2 linked regions of the Struthio camelus genome follow. The protein of the gene in region 1 purifies or fractionates together with the protein of each later gene. This does not show direct contact. Links are inferred from orthologs where the notes say so. Each region holds a gene or a part of one and is shown in the gene's direction. Other genes may lie near its edges.

Region 1 (15,317 bases):
GGCCTGCTACACCTCATCTCACTCTGTAAGCAGCACATGCAGAATATCCTCAGTTCAAATATTAAAGCAGAAAAAGGCACTTGGTCTCCATGTAATAACCACTCAGATTTCTTGGATACAGGCTGACCATTCTTGCTGGCAAGATAACCTTATTCTCCAGAGACAGATCACTGACATCCTCAAAATCAGTTAACCCTGATTCAGAGGCAGACTCCAGCTTTGTGGGAATACGCATTAGGACAGTTTCTGGTGAACAGTATCTAAGTAAGAGAGACACCTTCAGAGGAACAAAATACCAGCTAAACTCAATGAAGAGAAGAAAACTCTGCTTGTTCCAAAATCTTACCATTCATAAAATCAAGGATCCAGCAAAATTGGATTTCTAAACAAACAACGCATGTAAAACATCAGGTGAACAGCGCAAAGGGAGATTAATACGACAGCAAGTAGATGAAGTATCAATTATACAGAGCTTAGACTTGAAAATTTTCCAGCGCATAAAGCAGCTTGTACCTTTTAAATCTAGAAAAAGACATCCTGCCAAACATACAATTCATTACCAGGGAAAGGGATGGGTGACAGAACAAGCAATTACATTGCTAGTGTAAATAAGCCAGACCCCTTGGAGGTGCACAGTGAAATGACAAAAGGCAACAGTTACAAGTTCCAGCAAGGGAAAATCTGACTAGATAAAGAGAAAAAAAAAAAAATCAGAATAACGGTGGTTAAGCAGTGAACGAGGGCCCAGAGAGGCTGGGGAGGTATTTCCACCCTGGAGACGCTCAGAACGCAAGGCGGCCCTGGGCCACGTGCTTTAGCCCTGACGTTAGCCGTGCTTTGAGCAGGGGGTGAGCTGGAGACCTCCAGAGGGCCTGTCCAACCTCCGACAGTCTATGTTTCTAGCTGCCTTCTGGGAGTGTTCATGTACTAAACAGATTTAGATGGTCTAAGGGCCATCCCAGCATACAGCTCATGCTACTTGTATTGAATAACATAGGAGGCACAAATAACCCGGTAGAAAGTGACCCCGTCTAAACCCTTAGGCAGGCTGTCTTTATTTTTCCTATATATTTTAATATATATTTTATTTTGTATATGTAGCATTTCCAACTTCAAGCGATCCTTTCCTTCTCTGCCTGCATAAACCAGAGCTGCCAGAAGTAACAAGAAAACTCTCTCAGTGATCGAACACTGACAAACTGGTATTCGTCCGTGTTGGTATTAAGTTAGAAGTTATTTTTGTTCTAACAAGTAAATATTACTTCTCTCTACAGACGATAGTGCCCCATATAAAGTGCTCTGTATCCTCTCAAGAATAAAAGTCAGCCTAAGTGGTAACCCCAACACAAACCCCGCGAGGATTCAGTCCTTAATGGAGAATCCTTTACTGCTCATAAATGCTGCTTGCGTAGATGTGCACTGCAGTGTCTCCGAATGCCCCTAATGTGGGGGCTGAGGAAATATTTGTTCATGAAAGATGTTATTTTACCATCCCCAATGATCTAGCAAAGGAAAAATGAAGATGCTGGAAAAAAAAAAAAAAACGCACAGGAGAATCACTAAAAATAATGAAAAAGTATAATTGTTTTGTTTTGAGAAAGCCAGTAATAATCCTTTCAATAGTAACACGAGCGGAAAAACAAAAATGAGCAATATTAATGTAAATGCCAGATATAAACACTTAGACAGCTGAAATGTGGTTCAGCTGATCGACATTTCTGGCATTTCTGGTTTGCAAAAAGGACAAGAGCTCGTGCTCAAGCGTTACGAAGGCTTTTAGCAGCCCCCTCGTCCTCTTTCTGTGTGGCTCTACGTGTTTATGAAGGTAGGAGTATGCGACAAAATATCTGCGTGTGTGTGTTCTCACACAGGTGGAAAATTACAGTCCTACCTGAGACTAAACAAACTACTTTGTCTGCAGTGTTCTGCATTTACATTATGTTTTCTTTGGAAATTAAAAGACCTGCACTTTAATCTTTCAGACAGAAAGTTTACCGGTAATAAACATGCAAATAATTTATCTAGAAAGGTTTTGCTTTTTGAGTTTTTCAATTGAAATGTTATTTCAGATGTTCATGGCTAACTTGCTTCAGTTTTGCATTTCTACTCAGCAAAAAAATTTTATCTTAAAAAAAGTAGTGATTGTTTCTAAATGAGTAGATAGGCCAGAACATTTGCTAAAACATGCCAGAGAAATCTAGACTGTTGCCTCCCATGATGCTAAACCATTTAATATATTATGAAAGAAGAGATATTCTGTGCAGAGATTAAGCTGCTAGAGATGGTATATTTTTGGCAAAAACCCTGATGATTTGAGGTTGACTGAGAAGACCATGATTTTTCAGAGAACATAGACGCATCTATTAAATGCCAGGCTGAATGGTTGTTGCCTACCTGCGTTCCTCCTGCAGTCTCAGTCAGGTAGGATTTTTCACTATCCTAAACCTCTGTCTAATGTTTCTGTGAACTTGAGCCATGGCCAGAATTTGCTTTAAGAAATTGCATCTCCTCGGGGGAGAAGAAAGGAAGAGTATGTGTGTAAGCCTGAGCGTGTAAAACACATACCTTGCTTTCTCTGCAGAACGGCAGCGTTCAGGGCGTCCTTTCTGAGAAACGTCAGCCGGCCTCCTTGGCTAGCAAACCAACAGTTACCTTGAAAGACTGTTGGTAAAATATCCAAAATACACCATGGAGATAAAAACTATCTTGCTGCAGGTACCTGAAGTTTTGACAAAAAAGGGGGGATAGAAACCGAAATCTTTTCATTTTCTCCTCCACAAACAGGTTATACTTATTTCCAAAAGACCTGATTTTTAGCTTTTCCTAACCGTGCTGGGAACGGAGGTGGCAGTAGTGATTTACCGAGCGTCCTGCTCAGTGCACGGCCCTGGCACTTCTGGGTTCCTGGAAGACCTGCACGCAAAGGGTACGTTAAAGGCCGTGTGAAAGTGGTGAGGAAAGGGAGGCAAAAGGCCCTGTCGGTTTCTAAAGGCTCCAGCTTACCAATAAGCGAATAAATGACCTGCTGTCTGATCACTTGTCGTTCCCTGTCCTAGTCCTAATACCATGGCAAAAGTCTAAAGCTCCTGTCCACTAACAGTGCTTCCGTTTGGCACAAGCGTGTCTATATGACTGTTCCTCAGGGGACAATTGCACTGAGTTCCAGGTGATTTCAGTAGATGGCTTTATAGTAGTTGGTGGCTTAGAAAGGCTCAGGGACTTCACTCCCCACCCTTCAGCCCCGCAGAGCTCCACCTCTGAGCTCAGCCTTTCCAGTCCTCTTACAATTCAGGCCAGTCACTTCAAACTATTAACGCAGTGGTGAGCTTCAGTATCTGTTAAGAACTGGACCCTGCGCTGTCGCGTTCCTATTTAATCTAGAGGATATTTTTAGGAAGAGCTTTTCTCCAAGGGCAGCGTTCATCATGAGAGTTGTACAAAAGAACCGCAAAACTATTCCCACACGTTTGCCTGCGAAGGAGACACAAACGAGCTTTCAGAGCTGTTAGGAGGCTGGTGTGTCTTAGAGGTACCACAGCTTATTGGGGACTGCTACTTCTGAATGCTCTTTCAAGCTCTGCTAAATGATGCAAGCTCCCACAACAAGTGATTAACCACTTAACATCTCACCATAAATTTAATTCTAGTCTTTTAAAATGATACTTTGGAAGAGTGTCAAAGACCTAAATTCTTGCCATGTCATGGGAGACAAACAGAGAAATGCAAAGCACAGAGAAAATAATGGAAAAGTGGTGGCAGCAGGGCAAAAACAGTACTCCCCGGTCATACTTCCAGAGAGAGCAGGAAGGCTACGCAGCAGAGCTAGAGAATAGCCATTTCCACGTATTTTAAACTGAAGCACAGACATAAAATTTTTTAAAAAGACTAATAAAAAAGAACAGGAAAGTCTGCATGAAATAAAATGCATGAATAACCAAGGAATGGTTATGCAATTAAAAGCAGTCTTCAGGAACTTTATCATCTTTTCTCACTCACTGAGTTTAGCTTAAAGCAGGTTCACCTATTAAACAGTCGACTTTTAAGATGAAGTTTAAACCCTCAAACAATCTCATCTATTTAAAACTGCTACTTTCACACTGCACACACACGAACAGTTTGAGACTTCCATCTTGTATTAGGGATTCACTAGATTATGTGGAGCATATTTTTGCTGAGCTTTAAGTGTAATCTTAAAAAACATAAAACAACTTTTCACCCTTGGAGTTTTTTCTGCTCACTTTCTTATCATAACGTAATGTGAACTTAAAGAAAATTTATCAGACAAGGTGAATGAAGACAGAAAAAGGTGAAAGAAGAGAAAAACCGGATGAATAAATCCAAAGAATACAATACATAAATTCCTTCTAATTGGCAATTCATTTGAAGGACTTCTGGATTTGACCGTCCTCAGGTTAACACGTTTCCATTAGAAACGTACCACTGAACGATTAGTCTTACAGAAACTGAGCAAGAATTGCTGAGACAAAACCAGAATTTTCTTGGTATAGTTTTTTTTTTATTCATGAAACAGACGGAAGTCCTATTTCCTTGAGAGATAGTAAGAAACAGCTCAAAGACAATATTCTCCTCCAGAAACTCTGCAGATATTTTGGGAGAACCTGGGGGGATCCAGGTCAAGGAAAGTCACAGCTGGGGAGAAGTCAAAGTCCTCACTGGTTAAAATACACACCAAAATAGGAAAAAAAAAAACAACCAAAAATCAAAACCCTGTAGAAACGAAGTTATAGGATGAAAATGAGGGATGCTTGAGGATGCATCAAGCCAAAAGCCCTGCAAGATCCATTTGTCCTCAGAAAAAGGTGGATGCGGGCAAATAACCCAGTGGAGAAAGCGGAGCATGTCATCGCACTTTGGGTGCTCTCCCGGGCTTTGCTGCACTGCAGGGCCAGGGCGCCTTCGGGCGCCAGGGCTGGGGCACGCTGGGGCCACGGCCCAGCTCCTCGTCAGTCAGCCTGAGGAGTGGCATCCTGTGCTTTCTGCGGAAGGAGACCAAATGGGGGCAAAGGACAGAGCAGCACCATGCTCCCGCAGGAGGGGACCCGGCCGGGGAACCCACCTGCCTGCAACTCAGCATCATCCTGGCTTGTGGCAGGAGAACGGGGCAAGACACAACAGCTCTGTGCCCAGAGGCAGCTGGCTTTCTTCTCAGGTCTCACATATCTCGTTATTTTTTGACCTGGAAAGCCCCAGCCAGAAGTCCCCCATCTTCCAGCCAGGCCATGCACTCTGAACAATTTATCTGACCATTAACCTTCATTTGATACAGATAATTTCCACGCTCAAGAGTATCAAAGCAGAGCACTTAACCCTCAAGCATCTTCAGCAGATGCCGGGGGTACAGAAGGCTGCAAGTACTGCTTTTTTACTTTCATCCTGGTTGCCGTGTATCTGTGGCCCCAAACAGCCTGGCTGTGACGCCTAACGAGTGAGGCTTGCTATACTTGCTATGTGCTACTCAAAAAGACATTCAACTCCATGCAAAATTACGCGCTCAGTGTAACCATCATTAGTGAAATTTCAAACTGTGAGTGTATCGGTGTCTGTCTTCTGCCAGTGCGTGATGCCCCTTTAAACAACTTGTCCCTAAAGAAACTACTCAAATCACTCCGCTCTGCTATGTTAGGAAGCCCCCCATGAAAACCCACCGCTCAGCCCAGCTCTGTGTTGCCAGTTAAAGGGTGTGTCAAATAGACATGACAGGTCTCCTTTTCTCTCCTCTGCACACCTTTATCGTAAAAACAAGAGTAGGAGCAGTAAAGCAGAACGGTGCTGATGAAACGAAACAAAGCACAGGGAATTAAAGTGCTTTTCAGAAACAGATTTACTGTAAATCCCGGCCAGCAAGGCACGTATACCCACATTGTACTAAAATGTATGCTGTGATTAGATTGTGTGTGATAAAAGGGTTTTCAGCAAGACAGGGTATTATTTGTCTTACTGCGGATGTATAATTGTTCTAGTGAAGCATCCATTCTAATGGCCTTATTCTTTCTCTTTCATTTTCTTTTTTTAAGAGAATTTTTGTTCTCTGAAGCTTTTTGTTTCTCCATTATGACTTCCCATCCCTCTTTAGAGAAAAAGCTGAATAAGAAAGAGTGAGACCTCGATTCACAATGGCACAGAAAGGCTCAAGAAGGACTTGGGTTCCCAAACACCCCCGTGAATGCAGGCCCTGCTGTCCCTTTGGCCACTTCCAGAACATTAAACCGAGACTTCTGGAGGGCCAGACCCATAGGATAGTGTGCTCAAAGCACCTGAAAAGCTTGCTACCCAGCCACTCGCTAGCATCGCTCTTGACCTGACTGATGACATTTTTACTTCTGCAACTAGAAACCTGCTCCTACAAACCTGTATTTACAGCAGTCCAGTTCAGATTTAAGTTTATTAGCTATCCACTGTAAGACTTTTTGATAGTCTTTGGTGCTTTGGCTTAAGGAAGAAAAGGAAAATTTTTCTATTCCAGCTTTCCTGAGCCCAGGCATTGCTAACGCAGGGAGGGGATACCCCCAGGACTACGCAGCCTCCTCTGCGTACCAGTGCCATCCGTCGCCAGCTGCAGTGAAAGGTTTTTACACGCTGGCCAAGCCGAGATGGTGATGCTGAGCACAGAGGAGGAGAGCTGCGTTGGGCTTGTGCCTCTCTGGCTGGTTGACCACGTGTTATTATTACTCATACCGTGGCAGCTGCGAAGCAGAACAACCGGGAGAAGGTTCTCAGCAACCCTGCCCCAGGCCTGCAGCTCTAGCACTGACGTCTAAGGCCGTGACCATTTGGTCACTGTAGGTTTCACTTTCTTCAGCTGTAAAATTAACATAATTCTCCCCCTCCTTTAAGAGCACTGCAAAGCTTGGCAACCCGTGCGAGCGGCAGGAGCCTTTGACCATAAGCCAGGCACACGGTAACATGTGAGCTGCCCCCAGGGACAGCGTCAGATGAAGCAAGCGCCCAAGAGCTCTGCTTCATCGGAGCTAGAGGCCGGGCCTCCCGCCACCTAACTGCAGCCAAGCCACCGAAATACTTGAGCTAGGAACGCAGACGCTCTCGACTCTTCTGCAGCCAACGGAAAGAGACACACACGCACTCACAGAGCAAACCTACCTGCCTGTTTTTCTGCTCTGACTAGAAAGGAAACTCTGCCTGCCACGCTCCTAGCGGAGGTTACGGGGTTACGCAGGCTTCGCTGGGTGGGACAGACCCAGCACGGAGCTCAGCACTAGCCTGAATCCAACAACTGGCTCTTTGGTTTGGGCTCAAACTGAAAATAATGCAAAAATAACAAATCATTTTGCATTGATCTAAACACATTTTTGCATTCACTATATGCATTTTTTTTATAAACTCCAGCAGCAGCAAAACTATCAGTTTCAAAACAAAGCTGTAAGTTGCAAATAAAATGATGAAATGCTTAGGTTTAGAAAGACATAGATAAAACATTCTTAAAAAGACTTCTTTTTTTAAAACAGATCAACTATTACGACCTGACCTCAAAATGCATTTTCGCAGGGAATTTTTACCCTTGGAAGACAGCTTCACTTCCTTCTCCTCAACACCCTTTGCAAGTGAATCCTCACTTTTCTCCTTCTCCCTCCCTCACGTGATGGTGCTTTTCTCTTGCCTCTCACGGCAATCAAAGCAGTTTCACACCTCTGGCCCAGCAAACGCTTGCTTTCTTTTGCCCTCCTCTGTTTTCGCTTGCTTTCCCCCCGCAGAACCGCTGCCCGTCCCCTGCGCCCTGCGCCGCTGCTCCTCTCCAGACCGCCAGGAAGGGAACACGGCCGTATTCTCCGCTTCCTAGGAGATCGGTTCCAGTAAATTGCTAGTTAAGTGACTACGCGTAACTCCAGCCGCCGACTGCTGAGAGACCTCTCTGAACAGATCTTTGTGCCCAGCTGGAGCTCAGCGAAGGTAAGAGACATCCTCGCCCTAAAGACGCCCGCCCACGCGCCCGGCGCTGCAGTAAGAAGGAAGCGAGACACGGGCATCCCGATGTGTTGTTGGCGTGGAAGTGAATAAAATACTATGAAGATGCACTTCTTCATAGTCAGCTAAGGGGGGAGGTTTTTCCTTCCTTTTTTTCCCTTTCAGTTTTCCTGCCCTATCAAAATTCATGTTAAAATACAGATTCCTTAAAAACTTCTGAGGGGGTGAGCAGACAACTTCTCCTGTAGAGCAGGCGTTCGGAGGAGGGTTTTATGGATGCGTTAGACGTATTACACTATTATCAATTATTTGTGGACATACTGTAATGAATCTGTTAGCCTATTTAGCTAGCTGTTTGAAATACTTCATTGTGGCGCTGCAGTGGGTGTGCTGATGGGGCACGGCCAGGCCAGAGAGCCCTTCACCCGGGGCCTCGCGCTAACTCTTATCCCAATGTCCTTCCCGAGTTTGGGTTTTACTTTTCAGTTTCACATACCCTCTTTATTCATACAGTTATTTACATGAGGAGATGCAAATCAGAGCATTTCCAGATACACCTAGAGGATCTCTACGCACACGTGCACACACCTGTACACTTTGCAATGGCCGTAGCTTAGCTGGAGTCTTGAAAAGCATTTTCAGTTGCAAAATGCAGCTTTGCAGCTCTGTGAGTGTACACACACACTCCTGTGAGTGTGTGTGTATACATATATACGTATATATATACACATATACATGTGCCTCTACCAACCTCAGAAGGTACTGGAGAAATGTGGCACATCCTTTTCTTTTTAATCTTTGTAACACCGCAGAGTTATATCGCAGTTTAATTTCCTCCCCCGTTTATCTGTTTGTATTGTGCTGGTTTCATTTGTGTTTTAATTGCTCCCCCTTCTGCAGTAGCTGCTCAAGTCATATCACTGAATTTTCTTCTTTTCTTTTCTTTTTTTTCTTTTTTTTTTTTTTTCCTGCAAGCAGCTCGCATGCACACACATGGCAAGGAACAAACTGACATCACTTGACATCTCCTTGCTTCCTCATTTCAATATTAACTGCTCACCAGAAGAGAAACGGGTCTGAGGCTAGGGGCTGAGCGTGTGCACGTCTCCCTGTGTGAGCAAGAGCCTTTCTTCCCCTCTGCCCCTTCCCCTCTCCAGGTCATTATACTGAGCTGCCTGAAATTGCCCAATGCTGGTTTTCACCAGTTTGACTGTAGAGAGCCAGGAGCGTGGATGTGTTTCACTTTCTGCTTGGGCCGGGCTACAGCGACAGCTCTGAAGCTGAGTGCCGCCGCTGCTGCTGCTCTCTTCTGAGAACAAACTTCTTGCTGACAGATTCCTTCCGCTCTGCAAATCGATAATAATGACACAGCTGCAGTTTAAAGATGCGTTTTGGGTAAGTGAGCATCTCCTCAGTATTTCCTGTGTTAAATGTATCTATACTTAAAAATAATTTAAAACACAGCTTACTTTTAAATAGAGTTTAAATCTAATTTAATACTTTTCTATATTTTAAATTTAGTTGAGTAAAAAAAACAAATTTGCCTCCATGCAAAAACATACTGTCTGGGTAGTTTAAGCATTCGGTCTTAAACAGAAGGAAGCTTTGTAAAGGATTATGTCTAATTCACACGAACAACTGACATTCCTAATTTCTAAGCTATGTCCAAACATTGTTTTTGGAAAGGACATGGATTTGTCTGTCTCATTGTCCTAAGAGCGCTTGCTTGCAGCGAGTACCCTCAGTTTTTAGGAGCGGCTCCTCCGAGCAGGTGAACTGCTACCCGTTACTATATAAATTCTCTAGCGTTTGCATGTAGAGTTGAGCAGCACCTGCAAAGGCAACCAGCGATATGCAAAACGTTACTGCTCACCCGTGCCTGCTCTTACATGCAAAAGCGTGTGCATGAGGCATTTAGGGTGTGCAGGAGTCCTAGGGCACCATAGGTGGAAAAAACTAGCCGTGAGGTTGAGAATGAAGCCAGAACTCTCAGAACTGGCTTAAAAACGGTGGACACTAAAGCATGCAGATATGCTCGGTTCTTATTTGACTTTCAGTCGAAGCATCTCTGGGTGTCCTGTTTTCGTGCTCTTTCTCTGCGGTTACAAGGGGGGAAAAGCTCTAGTCATTTATCTGGCAAGTATAATCTGAGATTCTCTTGTAGTTGCTTCTGGGGCTGAGGTTTCAAGGGAAAAAACAAAACAAAAAACAAACAAACAAACCCCCCACATGTAGCAAGTTTGGAAATACAGGATGTCCCTTGGTTGCCTCCTGTCTCAACAATCACTTTTCCAACATCAGGGATTGGCATATATATAAAGAGACAAAGGCAGGTGAATTCTTCCTGCCATTTGCCCATCAAGCTAGGTCAAATGGACCCTCCACGGTGCCTGTGCTTTTTGTGCTGTTCTTTCAGCCCACCCTCCCTCCAGGATAAACTCTCTCTTAGTAAAACAGATGGGCAGACCCAAGAACACATTTTGGTAAACCACCTTCCCTCAGACGCTTCCAGGAATCCTCCCTGCCCCCACTATAGTACTAGGTTTGAACAGCTAAAAGTAATGTAATGAGGAAATACCAAAATTAGTTTTCATTTAAAAAAAAAAAATTAATGGGTTCATTGATTTTCATTTTCACCACACCTACGGGAGATTCTCCCCACCTGTTCTTCTGCAAGGTTACCAACCACATAGTGAAAAGCACAGCGCAGGGCATAAAACATAACCCCGTTCTACTACAGAAACTTCAGCTTTTGCATTTCTGAACTTCCTTCCGAATTGTGCAATCTTACTTTAGAACTGATACATTTTGTATATTTACTGTGTTTAGTCATGTTAGCAAGAGTATAATCCCTTCTTGGCTTTGAAGTGCATATTTTCTTTAAAGGAAAGGATCTTTTTTTCTAATATTGTTTGGCTGAAAACATTCTATTGCCAGGCTTGATTAAGAGGGCATGATGTATCCTGTGTGCTATGATAGTCTTAGCTATGCAATAAAAAGCATTTTAAAATGAAAACTTGCAGGATATTGCACAATGAAGCAAAAGAGTACAGCTTTCCCCCCCAAATCGCAAGCTCAGCAATTATTTTTGCATTCACAAGATTCTGTTGTACCCATTAGCAAGACGGAAACATATTTGCTCAGTTTGCTTTGGTGGGCAATTGTTTCCTTTATTCAATTTGTATCATGAATGGAGACCGTCTTCATGATTAAAAAACAAAAAGTACATTTGCATCATAGTAGATCACTCAAAACAGATGCCTGAGCTCCGAGACCTGCCTGAGGACAACGCTGCACCCCTGCCGGGGACTCACCCTGACTAGGTATTCCTAGGCAACAACCCCCTGCTTTTATTTCAGTAGGCTTTTGGATAGGCAGAAGTAGCTCGGGTACCCGACACAATGTAAGATATGTACGTTTTTGCGGTGAACACAAACACTAAAAGCAGCAGATCTTCCCTGGCTAGCAGAGAAATTGCATCATTAATTCTTCCCCAAAGTCTCTCAAACTTTTTTGAGGATAGGGTGGGCTATCTCTCAGGAGAATGTAAGCCGTTGCTTGTAACTGGTATAATTTTTAATTTCTCTTCCCCCCTACTAAATGTAGCAATGATAGGATTGTGCTAGTGGTGTCACGCTTGTGCTATTTTTTGTTTTACTTTATCAAGTCCTGGGCTAAAACTACTATATTTTTTAATGCCGTTTTCTTAGCTTTTACATCCTCCACACACTCAAGTAATGGTTTAAGGGAAGGTTGCTCAAAGCCTCCAGTAAAATGTGTTTCTTCAGCAGAAGTTTCCTGTCCTCTGACAATATTTCTTTTGAAAATTTTAGGGAGATTAAAATAGGAATCAGTTTTGATAGCCAGTGCAGAGCAATTACTAATGGATTAATATTCTGCTGTGCTGCTGTAAAAATGTAACAGATGTTACCTGTCTTCTCTAACATCGTATTAGACAGCTAGGTAAATTTCCGTATTAATGAGGAGCACGTCTGCGATACCAGCTGAGTTTCACGTTAACAGAGTTATGTTACTAGACAGAGATCTGAGTAACGTTCAATTTACTGTTACAAAAAACAGTAACCAAGATATTTTTTCCCCTTCTGCCATAAATACTGAGGATGTCCTTCCTGCCCTCGTTCCACACTCTGGTACCAGACACACATAACTCTCTCTGGCCAAGGGTTAGATGGGGCCTTTACTGGCATCCTTCAGTGCTTTGTCTTAGCCACCGGGGAAGAAGGAATGAGGAAGGCTTTCAGAGGAGGCATTTGGTTTTTGGGCAGGATCCAAAGTGCTCTGAGTTCAGTGGGAGCAAATCTGTTCCCTTTGGCAGCTTTCAATGAAACTTGAGTGGCCAAGTCAATTCTGAAACCGTGTTATGGGCTCCTAATGCGCTTATGATTAAAAAAAAAAAAGCTGCACAGTGTGAAGTGCTTTTTCTTCCTCAGCTGTGGAATGAGCACAGGACTTGTGGATTTTGAGAGCGCAGATTTAAAAGCACTAGTGAGCTGGAGATATTGGCCAGCAAATAGGACACAGGCCTTGAACCTGAGATAGAAAGATTTAGGTCCTTGTCCTACTGTGGACTTTTCTTCTGACTTTGGTCAAGCTGCATTCCTTACCTCTAAAACAGCAGGATCTTATCTCCTCGAGCACTCTAAGAAAAACTATACCGAAGATTATCAGCAGATACTACAGTAGTGGGAGCTGCATAAGCTCCAAAGATAAACAGCCTGTTATAAACAAAGATGTTTTCTTAATCTCTCTTATTTTGACTTTAGAATATATTCTATGACAGGTTCAACACAAAACCTATTTCACAGGTAAATCTTTCAACTCAATGGTATGTTATACATGGCCCAAAAGATGTAATTAGTGTCATGAAAATTTCACTTCTAGTAAGACGGTAACCTGTGATACAAAAGCACAGAAATGATCATAAAAGATCAATTATAGGTTACAGTAAAACTATTCTTATGACTTACTATGCAATATACCAAAGAAATACAATAATACGAATGTTTTACTTAAAAAAGGATACTTCCTTTTATCTTTGTACTGGGAGCCACCCTGCTTTCACGTAGAGGCTGTGCTAAGTTAAGAACCGTGTATGCAGTTTTGCACGGGCTGTTGTTTTGAACCAGGTCTGTCAGGAGGAAGTGGGCCTGGCAGGTCTGTCGGCAGGGAGGGACCAGGTGCTCGGTTAGGGCTCCTTCCCAGCCTCCGTTTCGGAGGTAGGGCTGAGCTCTGTGAGGGAAGGACATAGTTCCTGAACATTTTTGTGCTGGCATTTAAGCTTTGCAAGAGGATTGCCATTAACTTATGTTTGTATTGGATTCTACCAGTCGTAACCGTATTTACTGAGGTGTGGCAAATTAAAATAAATAATCTTAATGCACACTGGCGTACAGGCAGGCCAGACGCTGTGGTCAATATGTACTGCGTACATGTACTCCATACTCAATATGTAGTCCAGTCTCTGGACTGGAGAAAGTGCAACTAGGGGCCAATCTATGGCTGCGTAGACAACAGCCCTGCTGACATCCAGAGGATGCCATTACTGGTAGATGTGCATGGAAACGGAGAAGAAAGCAGGACCTGACTCTGAGAAGCAGAGCTGACTGTCCAGCTGAAGCCTGTTTGTTGTGAGGTCAACTTCATCCCCATGGAATATACTACTCTGTTCATCTTTTACATGGAATTTCTTGCTACGTTCCCCTGTAATAGGAAATATCTGATCTAGGACGGAAGCTTTGCTCCCTGGGACAGTGAGAAGCACCCTGTAAAGGGGTTTCAAATTTCAGAACAGTCACTGAAACCATGAGAAATCACAAGAAGGAAACTTGATTAGTTGTTGTGGCTATGGAAATACTGATGTTTTCAGAAATCACTTCTGAGCAGAACACAACAGAGCAGTTAAAATGAAACTCAAGTGAACTAGCACTCCCAGAAGAGATATTAATAGTGAGACAAACACATCAACGGCTATATCAACCTTCCATATTCCTAAAACACCACCTAGGAGGGTGTGTAAGGGACTGAAGTGCAGCACATTTGGGGCAGTTCGCAGAATCACAGAGCAGCCAAGGTTGGAAGGCACCTCTGGGATTGCCTGGCCCAACCCTGTTCAAGCAGGGTCAGCTAGAGCAGGTGGCCCAGGATCATTTCCTTGGTGATGAGCTGAAATGGAAAGACTAGAGTTTTTCTGTTTGCACTTTTGCTTATATCCTCAGTCAGTTACAACTTGCATGTGGTACACCAGGCGTGTGGTACATCTTTCCTACACAGGGAAAGAGTTTCTGAGAGGAGGTTTAAACACAGTGACCCGCTCCCAAGGCCTGGAAGACTTCACAGACCAGGTAGATTAATGGGTTTAGAGAAAGCTCATTTCAGGTCAATTAAACCATTAAGTCATTACATTTTATTAACATTTTCTGATGACCATGATGCAACTGAATGCCTTACCAAGGGGATTTGAGTGCTTATAATTGTTCATGGATAAAGTCAAAGTGACAACTTTGTTCGTATTTTTACATAATTCTGTCTGGTTTGTTTTGATCCTTCCTGCTCTACAAAAGTTGTTTGATTTTGCTCGGGCCCAGAGAAATGGAGGAGTCTTATTCATGCCAACTTTAATTGTGCCATTGATATGTATTTTAAACATAGAATAGGTGAGTCATAAACTGCTCTCTTCACCTGCACATACACAGACACCTGTACTGAACACCACCTACAGTTAAAGGAGTATTTGCTGCACATGGCTTGAAACAGATCCTGCGGATCTGTAGCAGCACTTCATGCAAAGATCGGAGTGAGTGTCCTACAGCTTGCTAAAGTAGCATGTTAAGATGTATTCCCCTGTCACAGAATCACAGCATACCTGAGGCTGGAAGGCACCTTGGGAGATCGTCTAGTCCAACCCCTCTACTCAAGCTGGGTCAGCTAAAGCAGGTTGCCCAGGACCACGTTCAGTTGAGTTTTGAATATCTCCAAGGATGGAGACTCCACCTCCTCTCTGAGAAACCTGCTTCAATGTTTGACCATCCTTTCAGTAAAGAAGTTTTTTTCTTATGTCTAAATGGAACTTCTTGGATTTCAATCTGTGCCCATCACCTCTTGTCCTGCCACTGGATACCACTGAGAAGAGTTCGACTCCATCTCCTTTACTCTCTCCCAGCAGATATTTATACACGTTAATAAAATCCCCTTGAGCTTTTCCTTCTTGAGGCTAAACAATCCCGGCTCTCTCAGCCTCTCCTCATAGGACAGATTCTCCAGGGTGAATCTCATTTTGACATATTTTTTCACCCAGGATTGGGTGATTCACTGGCCTTCCCTTTCCTCCCTCGAGCCTTGCTCAACAGGGCAGAGCA
Region 2 (16,067 bases), on another chromosome or scaffold:
AGCTGCTGGCGCCTGGCCGGGGCCGCCCTGGTGAGCCCCAGAGGCCTGGGCCCCTCGCGGGGTGCGCGGGGGTGCGCCGGACGCCTGGGCCCCTCACTGACGCCCTCCTGCCCCATCCCCCACAGGGCTGGAGGAGCTGGTGCTGGAGGCGGCGCCGGCGGGCGACAGCAGCAGCCTCTCGTCCTTCGGCTGCCGTGAGGGCTCCGCCCCCGGCAGCACCAAGGTGGGTGGGGCCTGGACAGGCCACACCCCCTCAGGCGGGGTCATGCTTGGCCACACCCCTCTGGGTTGTTGAGGTGCCTGCTCTCCAGGTGCAGGCTTAGGGCAAGCCACGCCCACCCCAGGCCCCACCCCCTTGTGGGTGGGGCCATGCTGACCCTGTCCGGTGGTGGGCGGGGCCGGCTCTAGGGGGTGGGGCTGGGCAGTAGCTGTGGCCTGGCTGACATCAGTGGGGGAGGTGGGGCCACGGGGGTGAGGGGTGGGGCTGAGGTGGGCGGGGCCGTGGCTGAGGGGGCTGGGCATCACTGACCTTTCTCCCACTGGGGCTTGGTGGGCCCTGGGGGGTGGGGCCTGGTGGAGGGTGGAGCCCACAGTGGGTGTGGTCTGGGGGACGTGGTTTCACTGACTCCACCCCTGGCAGTCAGGCTCAGGCAGCCCCAGCCGTGGGTGGGGAGGCCTCACTGGGGGGTGGAGCCTCACAGGGGTGTGGCCCGGTGGGGCCTTGCTGACCCCGCCCCTCCGTGGCGCGGCAGTCGGGCTCGGGCAGCCCTGGTGGGGGCAGCGGCGGCGGCGGCGGCCCCGGGGCGGCCGAGCTCTCCCCGGCCGAGGTGGCCGAGCTCTTCCAGCGCCTGGCCCAGAGCCAGCAGGAGCGCTGGCTGCTCGAGGAGAAGGTGCGTGGCTCTGGGGGGACTTGAGGAGGGACTGGGTGGTGCCAGGGAGACTGGGAGAGACTGGGGGGATTTGGGGGCCTGGGAGATACTTAGGGGTTATGGGGGGGACCGGGAGCCAGTGAGGAGGCACTGGGAACCACTGATGGGGGAGTGGGGGGGATATGGGGAGATGCAAAAGGGTTATGGGAGGGACTAGGAGACACTGGGAAGGTACTGGGAGGGACTCAGGGCTATGGAGGAGTGTGGGAGATGCTTGGGGGCTTTGGGGGGTGCCTGGGAGGGACGGGGGGCACTGGGAGGGACTGGGGAGATTCTGGGAGGGACTAGGGGGCAGTGGGAGGCCCTTGGGGGCGCTGAGAGGGAGCAGGGGCCACTGGGAGGCAGTGGGGGGGTCGCTGGTGTCCCTGGGGGTGGCTCAGCGGTGGCACCGGTGTCCCAGGCAAGTTGGGGGAGAGGGTATCCCCAGTGTCACCCCGCGTCCCCCCTGCAGGTGCGTCACCTGGAGGTGAGCAGCGCCTCGATGGCGGAGGACCTGTGCCGCAAGAGCGCCATCATCGAGAGCTTCGTCCGTGAGAGCCGCCTCGGTGCGGGTGGGAGCAGGGAGCGTGCCCGGACGCCTGGGCCCTGCCGGGGGCTTCCCCACGCCCCCCGCTGACCCCACGTGTCCCCCCCCCCAGACGCGGCGGCGGCTCCCCCCGGCGCCCCCCGGCGGGGCAGGGGCCCCGGCGACGAGGACCTGCGCGAGATGAACAAGAAGCTGCAGAACATGTTGGAGGAGCAGCTCACCAAGAACCTGCACCTGGGCCAGGTGGGCGGGGCCTCCTGGGGCGGGGCCTATGGGGTACCCCCCCCTTAGGGCAGGCTGGGCTCATGGGTGGAGCCAAGCAGGGGGCGGGGCCTCATGGCATGGCTCGGGGCAGGGGTGGCTGGCACGGGGGTGGGGCCACGGAGGGGGCTGTCTGCGGGTGGGCGGGGCTTCCGGGGGGCTTGGCCGTGGGGCCCGGATGCCTGGGTCCCTGAGCACACCCTCCCCTCCCTCCGCAGGACCTGGAGGCGCTTTCACAGGAGCTGGTGCGGCTCAGCAAGGAGCGGGCTGCCCCCCCCGGCCCCCCTTGAGGGGCGTGGCCCCGTTAAGGGGGTGGGGCCGCCCCGGGGGGCAGGGCCTCCCCACCTGCTCTGCCATCCTGGCTGTACATATCCCCCTGTGGCCCCCCGCGGGGGGGTTCCCCCTTTAAGGAGGCGTTGCCACTTTAAGGGGGGGTGGGATCTCGCACTTGCACCCCTCCCGCTCCCGCCACCCTTTCAATAAACGCGATTTGAACCGCAGCCGCCTCCGTCTCTTGGTGGGGGAGGGGCGCTCGGACGCCGGGGCGCTTAGGGAAGAGGCGGGGATTACGTCATTACACTCCAAGCTGGTTCGCATCTCCCTCATGACGCGCTTCCCCCCGGCGTCGCCATGGCGGCCGGGACGCCCGCCCGCCCTTCTCTGTCGTCACTTCCGGGCGCGGACCCGGATGTTGTTGCCGGCGGCCCCGCCCACCGGATGTTGTTGCCGCCGCTGCCCGGCTCGGCCGCAGGACGGGGGTGACCGCGGCGCCGCTCCCGCTTCCCCAGCCCCGCTTCGCTTGAAGCGGGGCGCGGCGTGACGTCAGCACGGCGGTGACGTAAGCTCCCCCACCCGCTTCTGCCGGTTGGGCGGCGGCGGCTCCAACCGCCCCCCCCCACCAGAAGACAGCGGTCCGCGCCTGCGCTGAGCCGCCGCCGCCATGGCGGCCGCGGGGGGCGGGGCCTGGACGGGGGGCGGGGCCGCGCTGGAGGAGGAGTGCGAGGTGGTGCGCGTGCGCGTCAAGGTGAGCGGGGGGCCGGGGGCGGAGCTAGCGGCCGCCGGGAGGGGGTGCCGCTGGGGGCGGGGCCAGCGGTCTCTGGGGCGGGGCCGAGGGCTTCGCGCTAAAGCGGGGGGGGGTGCGGAGGTGAGAGGAGGCCACGTGGGCGGCGGTGCCCAATGAGGCGCGAGGGTGGGAAACGGCAGGGTGCCGTTAGGCTGTTGCCGTAGCGACGCGCTGAGGTGGGGCGCCATGTCGTTGCGCCGGGGGATGAGCGTGAGGGCTGGACGCCTGGGTCTGCTGGGGGGGGGGGAGACCCCCCCGCCCGGCCCCGGACGCCTGGGTCCCTGACGCTGCCACCAGAAGAGCGAGGGGCTGCTGCCGCCCGAGTTCCGCTCCTTCGCCGTGGACCCGCAGATCACGTCGCTGGACGTGCTGCAGCACATTCTGGCGCGTGCCTTCGACCTGCAGGGGTGAGCACCGGGGCCCCTCCCCTCCCCCCAGGCATCTCCGTCCCCCCACCTTCCTTGTGTGGGGGAGGGGGTCGATTCCCTGGATGCTTAAGTCCACTAGGTACACAGAGGAAGTCCCCGTGGGGGGGAGGGGTGTTGGCCTGGACACCTGGATCCGCTGGGCACAGTCGGGGATGGGTCTCCATGAGGGGGGTGGGAGGGAGGTGCTTGGCCCGGATGTCTGGGTCCACTGGGGTGCATGGAGGGGAAGCCCCACGAGGGAGGGGGGTTGTAAGTGGTGGGGGAAGGGCACACCCCCAGACTCCTGGGCCTCTCATGGCACACAGGAAGAAGAGCTTCGCCGTGAGCTTCGCGGCCCGCGACCGCCGGGGCCACGAGAGCTTCACGCCGCTGGCCAGTGACAGCGACCTGGCGGCTGCCTTCGCCTCAGCCGCCAAGCCTGCCCTGCGCCTGCGCCTTGACGTGCGCCCACCCGACGACAGTGAGTGCCGCCTGGCCGGCAGGCCCCAGCATTTGGCAGAGCCCCGCCCTGCTGGCCAGAGGGTCCTGGTGTCTGGGAGGACCCACGCGACCCCTTTGAGGGCTGGGTGGGGGGACCCAGCCATCTGGGAAGAGCCACATCTTCCCCTTAGGGAGTGGGTGGGGGGACCCAGGGGTCTGGGAGAGCCCCCACCCTCATCACCCAGGGACCCAGGTGTCTGGGAGAGCCCCAGCCCCATCTGTCAGGGGGCCCCAGAGTCCGGGAGGAGCTGCATTTTCTCCTTGGGTACTGGCTGGGGGGACCCAGGTGTCTGGGGAGAGCCCCTGATCCCAGGACCAGAAGGGGACCCAGGCGTCTTGGAGAGGGTGGGGGGACCCAGGTGTCCTGGGGGTGGCACATCAGGGGCCCGGGTGTCTGGGTGCCCAGGGTGGGCTCTCGAGCAGCGTAGAGGAGACCCAGGTGTCCGAGCGGCCTGGGGGTTGTCATGGGGGCTCTCGAGTGGCATGGTGGGGACCCAGGCGTCCAGGGACCCGTGGGGGGCAGGGTTGCAGGAGTGGCGGAGCAGGAGGGACCCAGGCGTCCGGGCCCGCAGGCCCGCTGCTGGAGGACTGGGACATCATCAGCCCGCGGGAGGCGGCGGGGGCCGAGCCCCCCGGGCCCGAGCGCCGCTCGCTGCTGGCCGCTGCCCTGCCCTTCACCCAGGCCCTGCTGGCACAGGTGGGTGCAGGGCCTCCCAGGGCTCCCAGTTCCCCTCCCCAGGCCCTCCCAGAGCTCCCAGTTCCCCTCCCCAGGGTCTCCCAGCGCTCCTGGGCTCCCCCCCAACACCTCCCAGTGCCCCTCCGACGCTTCTCAATGCCTCCAGTTCTCTCCCAGACACCTCCCAGTGTTCCTAATTCTGCTCCAACACCCCCCATGGCCTCCAGTGCCTCCAGTCCCTTCCCAGACACCTCCCAGATCTCCCCCTCTCTCCTCCTTCTAGTGCTCCTAGTGCCCCTCGACACTTCCCAGAGTCCCCAGTCCCTTCCCAGATGCTTCCCAGTGTCCCCAGTCCCCTCCCAGGTGTTTCCAAGTGTTCCCAGTTCTGCTCCAACACCTCCCAGTGCTCCTTTGACACCTTCCAGTGCCCCCAGTCCCTTCCCAGACACTTCCCAGTGCCCCTTGACACTTTCCAGCGCTCCCACTCCCTGCCCAACACCTTCCAATGCTTCCTAGACTCCTCCTAGTTCCCCCTCAACACCTCCCAGTGCTCCTAGTCCCCCCCCAACGCCTCCCCGTGCTCCTGGCTCACCTGCCGCCCCCCACACAGGTGGGCCGGACACTGGCGCGGGCGCAGGCGGCACTGGCCTGGCCTGAGGGCTCCCCACCGCCACCGGCGTCGCCTCCGCCACCGCCGCGGGCCCCGCTGAGTGATGCTGACCTGCGCAGCTACCTGGGCCCCGGTGGGCGCCTGGCCCGGCCCCGCGACCTCCGCCTGCACGTCTACCACGGGGGAGTCGAGCCCGGCCTGCGCAAGGTATGTCTTGCCCCGCCACCGTCCCCCACCCCTCCTGCCCGGATGCCAGGGTCCCTAATGGCGTGGCCTCATCCCCGCACAGGTGGTGTGGCGCTACTTGCTCAATGTCTTCCCGGCGGGGCTCTCGGGCCAGGAACGCCTGGCCCACCTGCGGCGCAAGGCAGCCGAGTATGGGGCGCTCAAGGCCCGCCTGGCGGCCCAGGCGGCCCCTGGCGAGCTGGCGCTGGTGGGGGCTGCTGTGCGCAAGGACGTGGTGCGCACTGACCGCGGCCACCCCTACTTCGGGGGGCCTGAAGAGGGGCACCCGCACCTGGCCGCCCTCCAGGCCTTGCTCACCACCTTCGCCCTGGGCCACCCGCGCTTGTCCTACTGCCAGGGTATGTCAGATGTGGCTGCCCCACTGTTAGCCGTTCTTGATGACGAGGCCCAGGCCTTCATCTGCTTCTGCGCCCTCATGCGCCGCCTGGCTCCCCGCTTCCGCCCTGGCGGCCGGGGCCTGGCCCGGGCTTTTGGGCACCTGCGGCGGCTGCTGCGGCGCGCCGACCCGCCGTTCTGGGCCTTCCTGGCCGCCCGCGGCGCCCACGACCTCCTCTTCTGCTACCGCTGGCTGCTACTGGAGCTCAAGCGGGAGTTCGCCTTCGAGGACGCTCTGCGGGTGCTGGAGATCACCTGGAGCTCGCTCCCACCTGCCCCGCCGCCCCCTGCCGACGGTGTGCCGCTCCTTGGTGCCCCCCTGGGCCCCCGGCGGGCTCGCTGTGGGCTCCGCGAGCGCCGCGGGCTCCGGCCCCGGCCCCCCCGACGGCACCGGCGCCAGTGCAGGGCCCAGGAGGCGGCTACGCTGGGCGCAAGAGGAGCTGAGAAGGAGCCTGGAGACGACGCTGAGGGGCTGAGTGGCCTCGGGGATGTCCTAGAGGCTCCAAAAAGCTGCGGAAACCTCCAAGAGGATCCAAAGGTCTCCAGAGATGTCCAGGAGGATCCAAATATCCCCACAAACGCCCAAGAAGATCCCAAGATCAGTGACGTCCAAGATGCTGCTAAGGTTTCCACAAACATCCAGGAGGATCTGAAGGTTTCCCAAGGTGCGCCAGGTAGTCCTGAGATCTCCCAGGATGGTGGAGCGAAGTCGGAGGTCCCAGATAATCCCGAGACCAACCGAGGTGTCACAGAGGATCTCCATGTCTCCCGGGACATCCCAGAGGATCCCAAGGCCTCCAGGGAGGCCAGAGGGGGACCCGGTGTCCCCAAAAAGGCTGATGAAGACCCTGACATCCCCAAGGAGGTTGGCCAAGACCCCAACACCCCCAAGGAGGTTGACCAAGATCTCAGCATCTTCAAGGAGGCTGAACAAGACTGCGATGTCCCCCAGAAGCTCAGCCAAGGTCTCAACGTTCCCAAGGTTGGCCCAGAACCCGACATCTATAAGGAGGTTGGTCAAGACTTTGGTGTCACCAAAGAGATTGGGCAAAACCTCAACGCGTTCGAGGAAGTTCGCCAAGATCTCAACGTGCCGCAGGAGGTTGGCCAAGATCTCAGCATCCTCAAGGAGGTTGGTCAAGAACCCAGCGTCTTCAAGAAAGTTGGCCAAGACCCAGGTGCCTTCAAGGAGATTGGCCAAGAGCTCCGCAGCCCCCAGAAGGTTGGCCAAGACCCTGACGTCCCCGAAGACGCTGAAGCAGACGCTGCCACCCTCCCCGAGGTTGGTGAAGCTGATGATGACCCCTGGGCCGGCCCGTGGGCTTGGGAAGATTCCTCCTCCTCCTCTTCCTCCTCCTCCTCCTGCTCCTCCTCCTCCTCGTCGGAGGACGAGGTGGGTGTGGAGGACGACGGGGCGCCGCTGCCACCGCCGGAGGAGCTGGGCCAGGGCAACCCCTTCCTGCTCTTTGTGTGCCTGGCCATGCTGCTGGAGCAGCGTGAGGCCGTCATGGCACGGGCCAGCGACTACAATGAGGTGGCCATGCACTTTGACCGCCTGGTGCGCCGCCACGACCTGCCCCGGGTGCTGCACCGCGCCAAGGCCCTCTTCGCCCGCTACCTCGAGGGCTGGGGGGGGCGTGGCGGCCCCGGCGCGGGTGACAGCGACCCTGCTGAGCCCTGACGCCTGCCCCCTGCTGCCGCGCCTGGCCGAGAGGGGTGTGGGGGGAGCTGGGGGCACCTATGGAGCCCCCAAGGGGGCCCCGAGACCAGCTGAGGGACGCAGAGATGTCCGTGGGGGTGTATAGATGCCTCTGGGGACCCTATAAAGCCCCTGAGGTGGCCCACAGAGCAGCTTAGGGACCCCAGAGATGCCTATGGAGCGGTGTAGAGATCCCTGGGGACCCTATGGAGCCCCCAAGTGGGCCCTGAGACCGGCTGAGAGACCTGGAGACGCCCATGGGGGGCTATCGATGTCCCATGGACCCTATAGAGCCCCCGAGGAGACCCATAGACCAGCATATGGACCCCATAGATGCCTGGGGGGACCTATAGATCTTCCTTGGGGACCCCTAGATCAACATAGCTATTCTGAAGGCATGCATGGGGACCCATAGATCCCTTTTGGGGACCCATAGACTCCCTTAGGGACCTGTAGAAAATCCTGGGGACCCTATAGATCCCCCTTGGCAGCCGTAGACCAACATAGGGACCTTGTAGGCACCCATGGGTACCTATAGCTCTCCTTTGGGGATCTGTAGGTCCCCCTTGGAGGCCCATGGACCAATGTAGGAATCCCCTAGGTACCCCTCAGGGACCCATAGACACGCCTGGGAATGTATAGGTTGGCATAGGGATCCCCTTGACACTTCTCAGGGACCCAGAGATACCCATGGGGATGCCCTGAGGACCCATAGACCACCATAAGGACCTGTAGGCACCCCTCAGGGACCCATAGATCCCCCCTGGGGACCCATAGGCCCCCATGGGGACTGTAGGCACCTACTGGGGACCTGTAGACGCCTGCTACGGGGAGCCAGGGACATCGCAGCAGCCCCAGTACGGCCCAGTACAGCCCACTGCCTCCCCTGCCATTTCTCTACGTCGCCTCGGAGCGTCCCGGCGTGGACCAGTATGAACCAGCGTAGGTCTGGGGGCCCAACTGGGAGCTCCTGCATCTCCATGGCCTTGGGTTGGACCAGTTCGGACCAGCATGGACCAGTACAGCATCCTCATCGGGATTCCTCACCTGCGTGGCCTTGCGCCGTCCCAGTCCAGACCAGTACAGCGGCAGAGCTGGAATCTCTTCACCCACCTGGCCTTGGGCCATCCCAGTACGGACCAGTATGGACCAGTATGGCATCTCAACTGGGAGCTCCTCACCCACGTGGCCTTGCGTCTCCCAGTATGGACCAGTACGGACCGGTAGGGCACCCCCACTGGGACCTCTTCACCCACACAGCCTTGGGTCCTGCCAGTATGGACCAGTACAGCCCAGTGCCCTCCCCACCCGGTGCCTTCCTATGTCCCCCCTTTATTTATTGCCCCCCCCCCGCCCTCCATCCTACTGGGAGGGGCCCAGGCGTCCGGGGTGCTGCGAGGTGCAGAAGACGCAAATAAACCTGACGCCCATGTTTGTCGTTTGGAGGCTCCCAGTATGGACTGGGGATGGGCTGGGTGGGTCCCATTCCATACTGGGGAGGGATTACAGGTGCTTATATCGATTGGGAAGGAGCTGGGGATCCCAATCCGTACTGGGAAGGGGCTGGGGGAGTCCCAGTATGGACTGGGGAGGGGATAGGGCTCCTAGTATGGACGGGGAAGGGGCTGGGAGGCTCCCAGAATGGACTGGAATGACAATGAGGGATCCAAATCCATACTGGGAAGGGTCTGGGGGTCCCAATCCATACTGGGAAGGAGCTAGAGAGCTCCCAGTATGGACTGGGAAGGGGATTGGGGGGGGGTCCCAGCCTATACTGGGCCTGCAGTATGTACTGGTGGGTCGTGGCATGGACTGGGAAGGGCCTGGGGTTCCACTACAGACTGGGATGGTCCCAGTACGGTCTAGGACAGAGTTGGGACTCCCCTGAGGGGGGAGGGGAAGCCAAGGCGCCCGGATGCCTGGGCCCCCAGCCAGGGGGGAGGAGGGGGGGCCGCGGCCTTTGGCTGCTCCCAGTCCCTCCCAGTTCACCCCAGTGCCCTCCCAGTTCACCCCAGTCGCCCCCAGTCCGGAGGTGACGCGCGCTTCCGGGCCCGCTACACGGAAGAGGCCTCCGCGCGGGACCCAGGCGTCCGGGCCGAGGGCTCCCCACCTCTGCAGGGGACACAGGCATCCGGCTCGGGGAGGTGTTTCCCCCCCAGCCTCCTCCAGGAAGGGGGCCCAGGCATCCGGGGCCCATAAGCGGGGCCGGAGCCGGCGGGGGAGTGGGGAAGGGGCCCAGGTGACTGGGGCGATGAGCCGGGGGGGCCGGGGGGGGCCACCGGGGCCCGACAACGTCCCCTCGGAGCTGCTGCAGCAGCAGGAAAACCTGCGGCTCTTTGAGCTCCTGGGCCGGAAATGTGTGGTGAGGGGCCGGGGCAGATCTGGGGGTCCTGGGGGGGATTTGGGGGGCCCTGCAGGAACCCTAAGGGCTCTGGGGGGGATCTAGGGGGTCCTGGGGGGGGCTGTGGGGGACTTGGGGGGATTTGGGGGTCCCTGCAAAGGCCCTAAGGGTTCTGGGGGGATCTGGAGGGTCTTAGGGGGGGATTTGGGGGTCTGGGGGGGCCCTAAGGGCTCTGGGAGGGTATAGGGGGAATATGGGGGGCCCTTGGGCTGGGGGGGTCCTGGGAGGGGCCTAAGGGGTCTAGGGGGGGATCTGGAGGGGATATAGGGAGTCCTGGGAGGGATTTGGGAGGGATATGGGGGATGGGGGGATTTGGGGGGTCCTGGGGGGCTCTAAAGGGTCTGGGGGATATTTGGGTGGATCTGGGCAGTCCTGAGGGGGATTTGGAATCCCAAGGGGGTCAAGGGGGTGTTTGCAACATCCTAAGAACCTGTAGGAACCCCCTTGAGTGCTATAGGAGCTCCCCCCAGGCACTAGAGCCACCCACCTAGTCCCTGTAGAGGCCCCAGGTGCTATAGGGCCCCCACACATGCTTTAGAGCAGCTCCTGGGTGCTATAGGAGCCTCTCAGGTGCTATAGGGTATCTTTAGGGGCCATAGGGGCCCCTTGGTGCTATACATGCCCAAGTTGCTATGGGGTCCCCCCGGGTGCTATAGGAGCCCTTCGGGTGCCCAAGTTGCTATAGGGCCCCCTGGGTGCTATAGGGGATCCCTAGGTGCTATAGGGGCCCCCCAGGTGCTGCAGACCCCAATGAGCCCCCAGCCCTACAGGGACTCCCCAGCCCCATACCTCCCCCAGCACCGCAGGGCCCCCCCAGCGCCCTGCCCCCCCCCAGGGGTGCTATAGGCGCTATAGGGGCGGCTGCGGCAGACGCTGGCGACGGCGGTGGTGCAGCTGCTGGAGGCGCGGGGGCCGGGGGGGGCGGCGTGGACCAAGCGGGGCTGCGGCGTCGCCTGCCTGGTCAAGGACAGCCCCCGGCGCTCCTACTTCATCCGCCTCTACGACCTGCGGGTGAGCTGGGGGCCCTGGCATCCAGGTGGGGGGGCGGGAGACCCCCACGGGCTGGGTAAGAGGTGGCCAAGGGACCCAGGCGTCTGGGCGGGGGAGCCCAGGGGATGGACCACCACGGGCTGGGTGGGAGATGGCCAAGGGACCCAGGCGTTGGGGTGGGGGAGCCAAGGGGACCCAGGTGTCCAGGCAGGGGTGGCGGGAGACCCCATGGGCTGGGTGGGAGGTGGCCAGGGGACCCAGGCATCCGGGCAGGGGAGCTATGGGGACCGAGGTGTCTGGATGGGGGAGCCACGGGGACCCAGGCGTTGGGGTGAAGGAGCCACGGGGACCCAGGCGTCCAGATGGGGGAGCTATGGGGACCCAGGTGTCCGGGCGGGGGAGCCATGAGGACCCAGGCGTCCGGGCGGGGGGGGACGGGAGTCCCCACGGGCTGGGTGGAGGTGGCCAAGGGACCCAGGTGTCTGGGCGCGCAGGGCGGGTGCCTGTGCTGGGAGCAGGAGCTCCGGGCCCACATGGGCTATGCTGCCCCCACCCCCTTCTTCCACACCTTCCCTGCTGACGTGAGTAGGCGGGGCCAGGGGCGGGGGCGGGGCTTCGGCTGCTTGGGGCAGGGTAGGGTGGAGCCAACTGGATGGGGGCGGGGCTACAAGCTGGGGTGTGGCTACAGGTGGGGGTTGGGGTGGGGCTAGAGGTGGGGGTTGGGGCGGGGCATCCGGCCTGAGGGCGGGGCTCTGGCTCTGGGGGCGGGGCCGAGGGCGGGACTCTGTGCTGGGGCAGGGCTTCAGCATTGTGGGTGGGGCCAAGGGTGGGGTTAAGAGACTGGGGGCAGGGCTTAGAAGGCAGTGGGTGGGGCTAAAGGGGCCTGAGATGGGGCTGATGGATGGGGCAGGGCTAAGGGAGTGTGGGTGAGGTGGAGGGTCTGGGGTGGGCTGGGGCTGGGGCGGGGCTGGGGCGGGGCCAGGCGGTGATTGGCTGCGCAGGGCTGGCAGGCGGGGCTGAACTTCGCCCACGAGGGGGAGGCGGCAGCGTTCCAGGCCCTGGTGGAGGAGAAGGTCTGGAAGCAGCAACAGCGGGCGGGTGAGCTGCCCCACGGCCCTGCCCCATGGCCACCCACGGTGCCCCACAGCTTCCCCATGACCACTCACGCTGCCCCACGGCAGCCCCAGGGCCACTCACACTGCACCGGAGCTGCCCCACAGTGGCCTATGAGGCACTGGGGCTGCCCCACAGCCACCCCCCCTGTGCCAGGGCTGCCCCATGGCCACCCACGCTGCCCCGTGGCAGCCCCAGGGCCACCCACACTGCACCGGGGCTGCCCCACAGCAGTCCACGAGGCACCAGGGCTGCCTCATGGCCACCTCCAACAGCCCACAATACACACTAGGGCTGCCCTATGGCAACCCACAGTGCACTGGGGCTGCCCCACAGCCACCCACGATACACTGTGGTTGCCCTACAGTGACCCACTATGCACCAGGGCTGCCCTGGTGCCCGCCACGCCATGGGGCAGCCCCACATTAGCCCCTTTCCCTCCACAGAGAAGCGACAGCTCCCACCCCCACCACCCCCCACGGCTGATGGTGAGTTCCCCCCCCTATCCCGGGAGGCTTTGCGGGGCTGTGGAGGGGGCGCCGTGGGGCAAAGAGCCACGGGGAAGGAGGAGCCGTGGGGTGGCCATGGGGGGGATGTTGTGGGGCAGCCGTGGGGCGCTGACCTCCTCTGCCCCCCATCACAGAGCGCCGCGGGAGTCTGCCCCGGCCCCCTGCATCTGCCGGGGATGGCTGTGGTGAGTGACTGCCCCATAGCAGGGGCTCCGCTGCCCCACAGCGGGGTCCCTGCCCCATAATGGAATGTCCCTGCCCTATAAGGGGATCCTTGATGCCCCATAGCAAGTGGTTCCTGCCCCATAGTGGGGTCTCTCCTACCCTATAGTGGGTTTGCCTGCCCCATAGCACAGTCCCTGCCTCATAGCAGTGTTCTAGCCCCCTAGCAGGGTCCCCTCTGCCCCATAGTGGGTTCCCCTGCACCATAGCCAGTCTCTACTGCCCCAAAGGGAGTCCCCCTGCCCCATAGTGGCCGCCAAGCCCCATAGCGGCCCCCGCCCCACACACATGCCCCCGCAGCCCCCCCAGTGCCGGCTGTGCCCATTGCCAACCCCGACATCACGGCGAGCCGCTACCGGGGGCTGCCCAGCCCCACGGCTGGCCCCACAGCGGGCCCCACAGCAGGCCCCACAGCCACTGACCGCAAGCGGGGTCGCAAGAAGATCTCCAAGGCTGACATCGGGGCACCCTCCGGCTTCAAGTAGGTCTGGGATGTGTGGGGCTGGGGGGATGTGTGGGGTGGGGAGATGTGTGGGGCAGGGGGACGTGTGGGGCTGGGGGGGACGTGAGGGGCAGGGTACATATGGGGCAGGGCTCGGCCATGGGTCCAGCCCTCCTGCTATGGGGCAACCCCTCATATCACCACCCCCCACCAGGCACGTGGGTCACATCGGATGGGACCCCAACAGCGGCTTCAACGTACGTCACCCCATAGGGGCTGTGACCCTCAGGCCTTATGGGTGGAAGAACCCTGTGGGCCCCATAGGGGGGATGGACCCCCCCAAGCTCTATAGGGGAGAGACCCCCTGGGCTGTATAGGAGAAACACCTCCCTCCCATGGGCACTAGAGCTCCCCTGCAGAGGCTATAGGCCCCACACCCCTCTAGGTGGCAGCTATGTGCCCCACACTGCCCCGGGGTGGGTGCTATAGGGCCTGTACCCCCTTAGGTGGGTGCTATAGGGGTCATAACCCCCCAGGGCAAGTGCTATAGGGCCCGTACCCCCCCCCCGGGGCTGGCATTATAGAGGTCATACCCCCTGAGCCAGGCTCTATAGAGGTCATACCCCCTGGGGTGGGGTTTATAGGTTCCATATCCCCTGGGGTGGGTGCTATAGGTCCCATATCCCCTGGGGAGGTCCTATAGGGGTCCTATCCCCTGGGGCAGGCACTATAGGTCCCATATCCCCTGGGAAGATCCTGTGGGGTCCCCCCCCAGGGTGGGTGCTATAGGTCCCATACCCTCTGGGGAGGTCCTATAGGGGTCCTATCCCCTGGGGCAGGTGCTATAGGTCCCATATCCCCTGTGGTGGGTGCTATAGGTCCCATAGCCCCCTGGGGAGGTCCTGTGGGGTCCCACCCCCCCAGGGTGGGTGCTATACACCCCACGCCCCCAGGGCGGGGCGGGCAGCACGGCCCCATACCCGCGGGGAGGGCGGCGGGTGGTGCCAGCAGCCCTACGGAGGCCGTAGGTGCCGGGCCGCAGGTGCAGGAGCTGGACCCAGACTTGCGGGCGCTGTTCGCCCGGGCCGGCATCAGCGAGGCGCAGCTGGCCGACGCCGAGACCTCGCGCCTCATCTACGACTTCATCGAGGGCCAGGGCGGCCTGCAGGCCGTCAAGGAGGAGATGCGCCGCCACGGTGAGCCCCCCAGCGGCCGCGCAGCGCTCCCTGCGCCCCCGGGCCCGAGGGGCTCCGCCGCCCCGATGACGGCAGCCACCTGTCTCCTCCGGGGTAGGCCCCTCAGGCCCCGCTGTAAGACCCGTACGACCCTCGCCGTAGGGTCCGTAGTCCCCCAGATAGGCCCCATGCCCCCCCGTTAAAGCATCCATACCCTCCCCATTATAGGGTCCATACCCCTTCCTGTTATAGGGCCCTTATGCCCCATTATAGGGTCCATGGGCCTCCGTTATAGGGTCCATACCTCCTCCGTTATAGGCTCCCTATGCCCCGTTATAGGCCCCACCCCCTCCATTATAGGCTCCATACCTCCTCCGTTATAGGCTCCCTATGCCCCGTTATAGGCCCCACCCCCCCGTTATAGGCTCCATGCCTCCTCCGTTATAGGCTCCCTATGCCCCATTATAGGCCCCACCCCCCCGTTATAGGCTCCATACCTCCTCCGTTATAGGCTCCCTATGCCCCGTTATAGGCCCCACCCCCCCCCATTATAGGCTCCCTATGCCCTGTTACAGGCCCCATGCCCCACCATTATAGGCCCCATACCCCCCTAGGTGCCACGTGCCCCCCCAGCCCTAGGGGCGTGGCCCCGGGGGCGGGGCTCCCGCCGGGCGCTGACGCCTCTCTCCCCTCCCCCAGGGCCGCCGCCCCCCCCGGGCCGCGCCGCCGCCGCGCCGCCGCCACCGCCCCCCGCGGCCGGCCCCGCCCCCCGCGGCCGCCAGGGGCCGCTGCCGCCGCCGCCGCCCGGGGCGCCGCCGCCGGCCCCGCCGCCGCCGCGCGGGGCCCCGCCCCCTGCCCCGCCCCCTGCCGCCGGCCCGCCCCCTGCGCGCGGGAGCCCCGCCCCCCCGGCGCGCGGCGGAGCCCCCCCACCCCCCCCGCCGCCGCCGCCGCCGCCGCCGCCGGCTGCTGGCGCCACCGCCGGTGCCCCCGCCGCGGGGCCCCCCCAGGGCCGCGGGGCCCTCCTGGACCAGATCCGGCAGGGCGTGCAGCTCAACAAGGTCGGGGGGCACGGGGCTGGGGGACGATGTGGAGCAGGTCGCCATGGGGCGGGGGACAGTGTGGAGTAGGGTGTCATGGGGCAGGGGACGGTGTGGGGCAGGGGACGGTGTGGGGTGGGTTGCCGTGGGGCGGGGGGAGGTGTGGAGCAGGTTGCCATGGGGCAGGGGATGGTGTGGAGTAGGGTGTCATGGGGCAGGGGACGGTGTGGGGTGGGTTGCCGTGGGGCGGGGGGAGGTGTGGAGCAGGTTGCCATGGGGCAGGGGATGGTGTGGAGTAGGGTGTCATGGGGCAGGGGACGGTGTGGGGCAGGTTGTCGTGGGGCAGGGGGAGGTGTGGAGCAGGTTGCCATGGGGCAGAGGACAGCGTGGGGCAGGTTACTGTGGGGCAGGTTGCCATGGGGTGGAGGACAGCGTGGGGCAGGTTACTGTGGGGTGGGGGGAGAGGTTTTGGGCAGGGGACACTGTGGGGTAGGTTGCGTGGGACAGGTAACAGTGTGGAGCAGCGTTCTGTGGGGTAGCCCTGACTCTGTTCCCTTTCCCTACCTGCAGACCCCTGAGGCCCCTGAGGCGGGTGCCGTGGGGCAGCCTCCCGAGGGGCTGGTGGGGGCCCTCATGCAGGTCATGCAGAAGCGCAGCAAGGCCATCCACTCATCCGGTGAGCTGGGGGGCTGCCGCCCCACACGCAGGGGGCCACCCCACATGTGAAGGGCACCCCCTGCGCTGTTCCCCCCTCCAAACCCTGCTCACCCCCTGCTTCCTCCCCCCCAGACGAGGCCGAGGACGCCGAGGAGGACGAGGACGACGAGTGGGATGACTGAGCCCCGTGGCGCTGGCCCATGGAGCCCCCGTGTTTGTGTGTCCCCC

The links.
Region 2: the proteins of PSTPIP1 (region 1) and WAS purify together in Homo sapiens (affinity purification with western blotting; 3 studies listed by BioGRID and IntAct, with this or other methods). This does not show direct contact. The link is inferred for Struthio camelus from reciprocal best matches to the Homo sapiens genes PSTPIP1 and WAS.

What each region holds. Positions count from the first base shown.
Region 1 is NC_090953.1:22,306,689-22,322,005, forward strand, and holds the start of PSTPIP1 (proline-serine-threonine phosphatase-interacting protein 1), read left to right. Parts: upstream 1-8,997; 5' UTR 8,998-9,303; coding exon 9,304-9,336; intron 9,337-15,317. UniProt on the Homo sapiens protein: Involved in regulation of the actin cytoskeleton. May regulate WAS actin-bundling activity. Bridges the interaction between ABL1 and PTPN18 leading to ABL1 dephosphorylation.
Region 2 is NC_090979.1:337,473-353,539, forward strand, and holds WAS (actin nucleation-promoting factor WAS), read left to right. Parts: upstream 1-9,292; 5' UTR 9,293-9,544; coding exon 9,545-9,655; intron 9,656-10,564; coding exon 10,565-10,705; intron 10,706-11,178; coding exon 11,179-11,265; intron 11,266-11,685; coding exon 11,686-11,782; intron 11,783-12,243; coding exon 12,244-12,285; intron 12,286-12,440; coding exon 12,441-12,491; intron 12,492-12,828; coding exon 12,829-13,009; intron 13,010-13,184; coding exon 13,185-13,227; intron 13,228-14,012; coding exon 14,013-14,166; intron 14,167-14,844; coding exon 14,845-14,890; intron 14,891-15,040; coding exon 15,041-15,203; intron 15,204-15,752; coding exon 15,753-15,858; intron 15,859-15,971; coding exon 15,972-16,021; 3' UTR 16,022-16,030; downstream 16,031-16,067. Other genes in the region: GRIPAP1 (GRIP1-associated protein 1), read left to right, coding at 1-30, 126-223, 753-890, 1,381-1,480, 1,568-1,698, 1,935-2,006; TBC1D25 (TBC1 domain family member 25), read left to right, coding at 2,657-2,740, 3,077-3,186, 3,513-3,667, 4,260-4,384, 4,974-5,180, 5,263-7,275. UniProt on the Homo sapiens protein: Effector protein for Rho-type GTPases that regulates actin filament reorganization via its interaction with the Arp2/3 complex. Important for efficient actin polymerization. Possible regulator of lymphocyte and platelet function.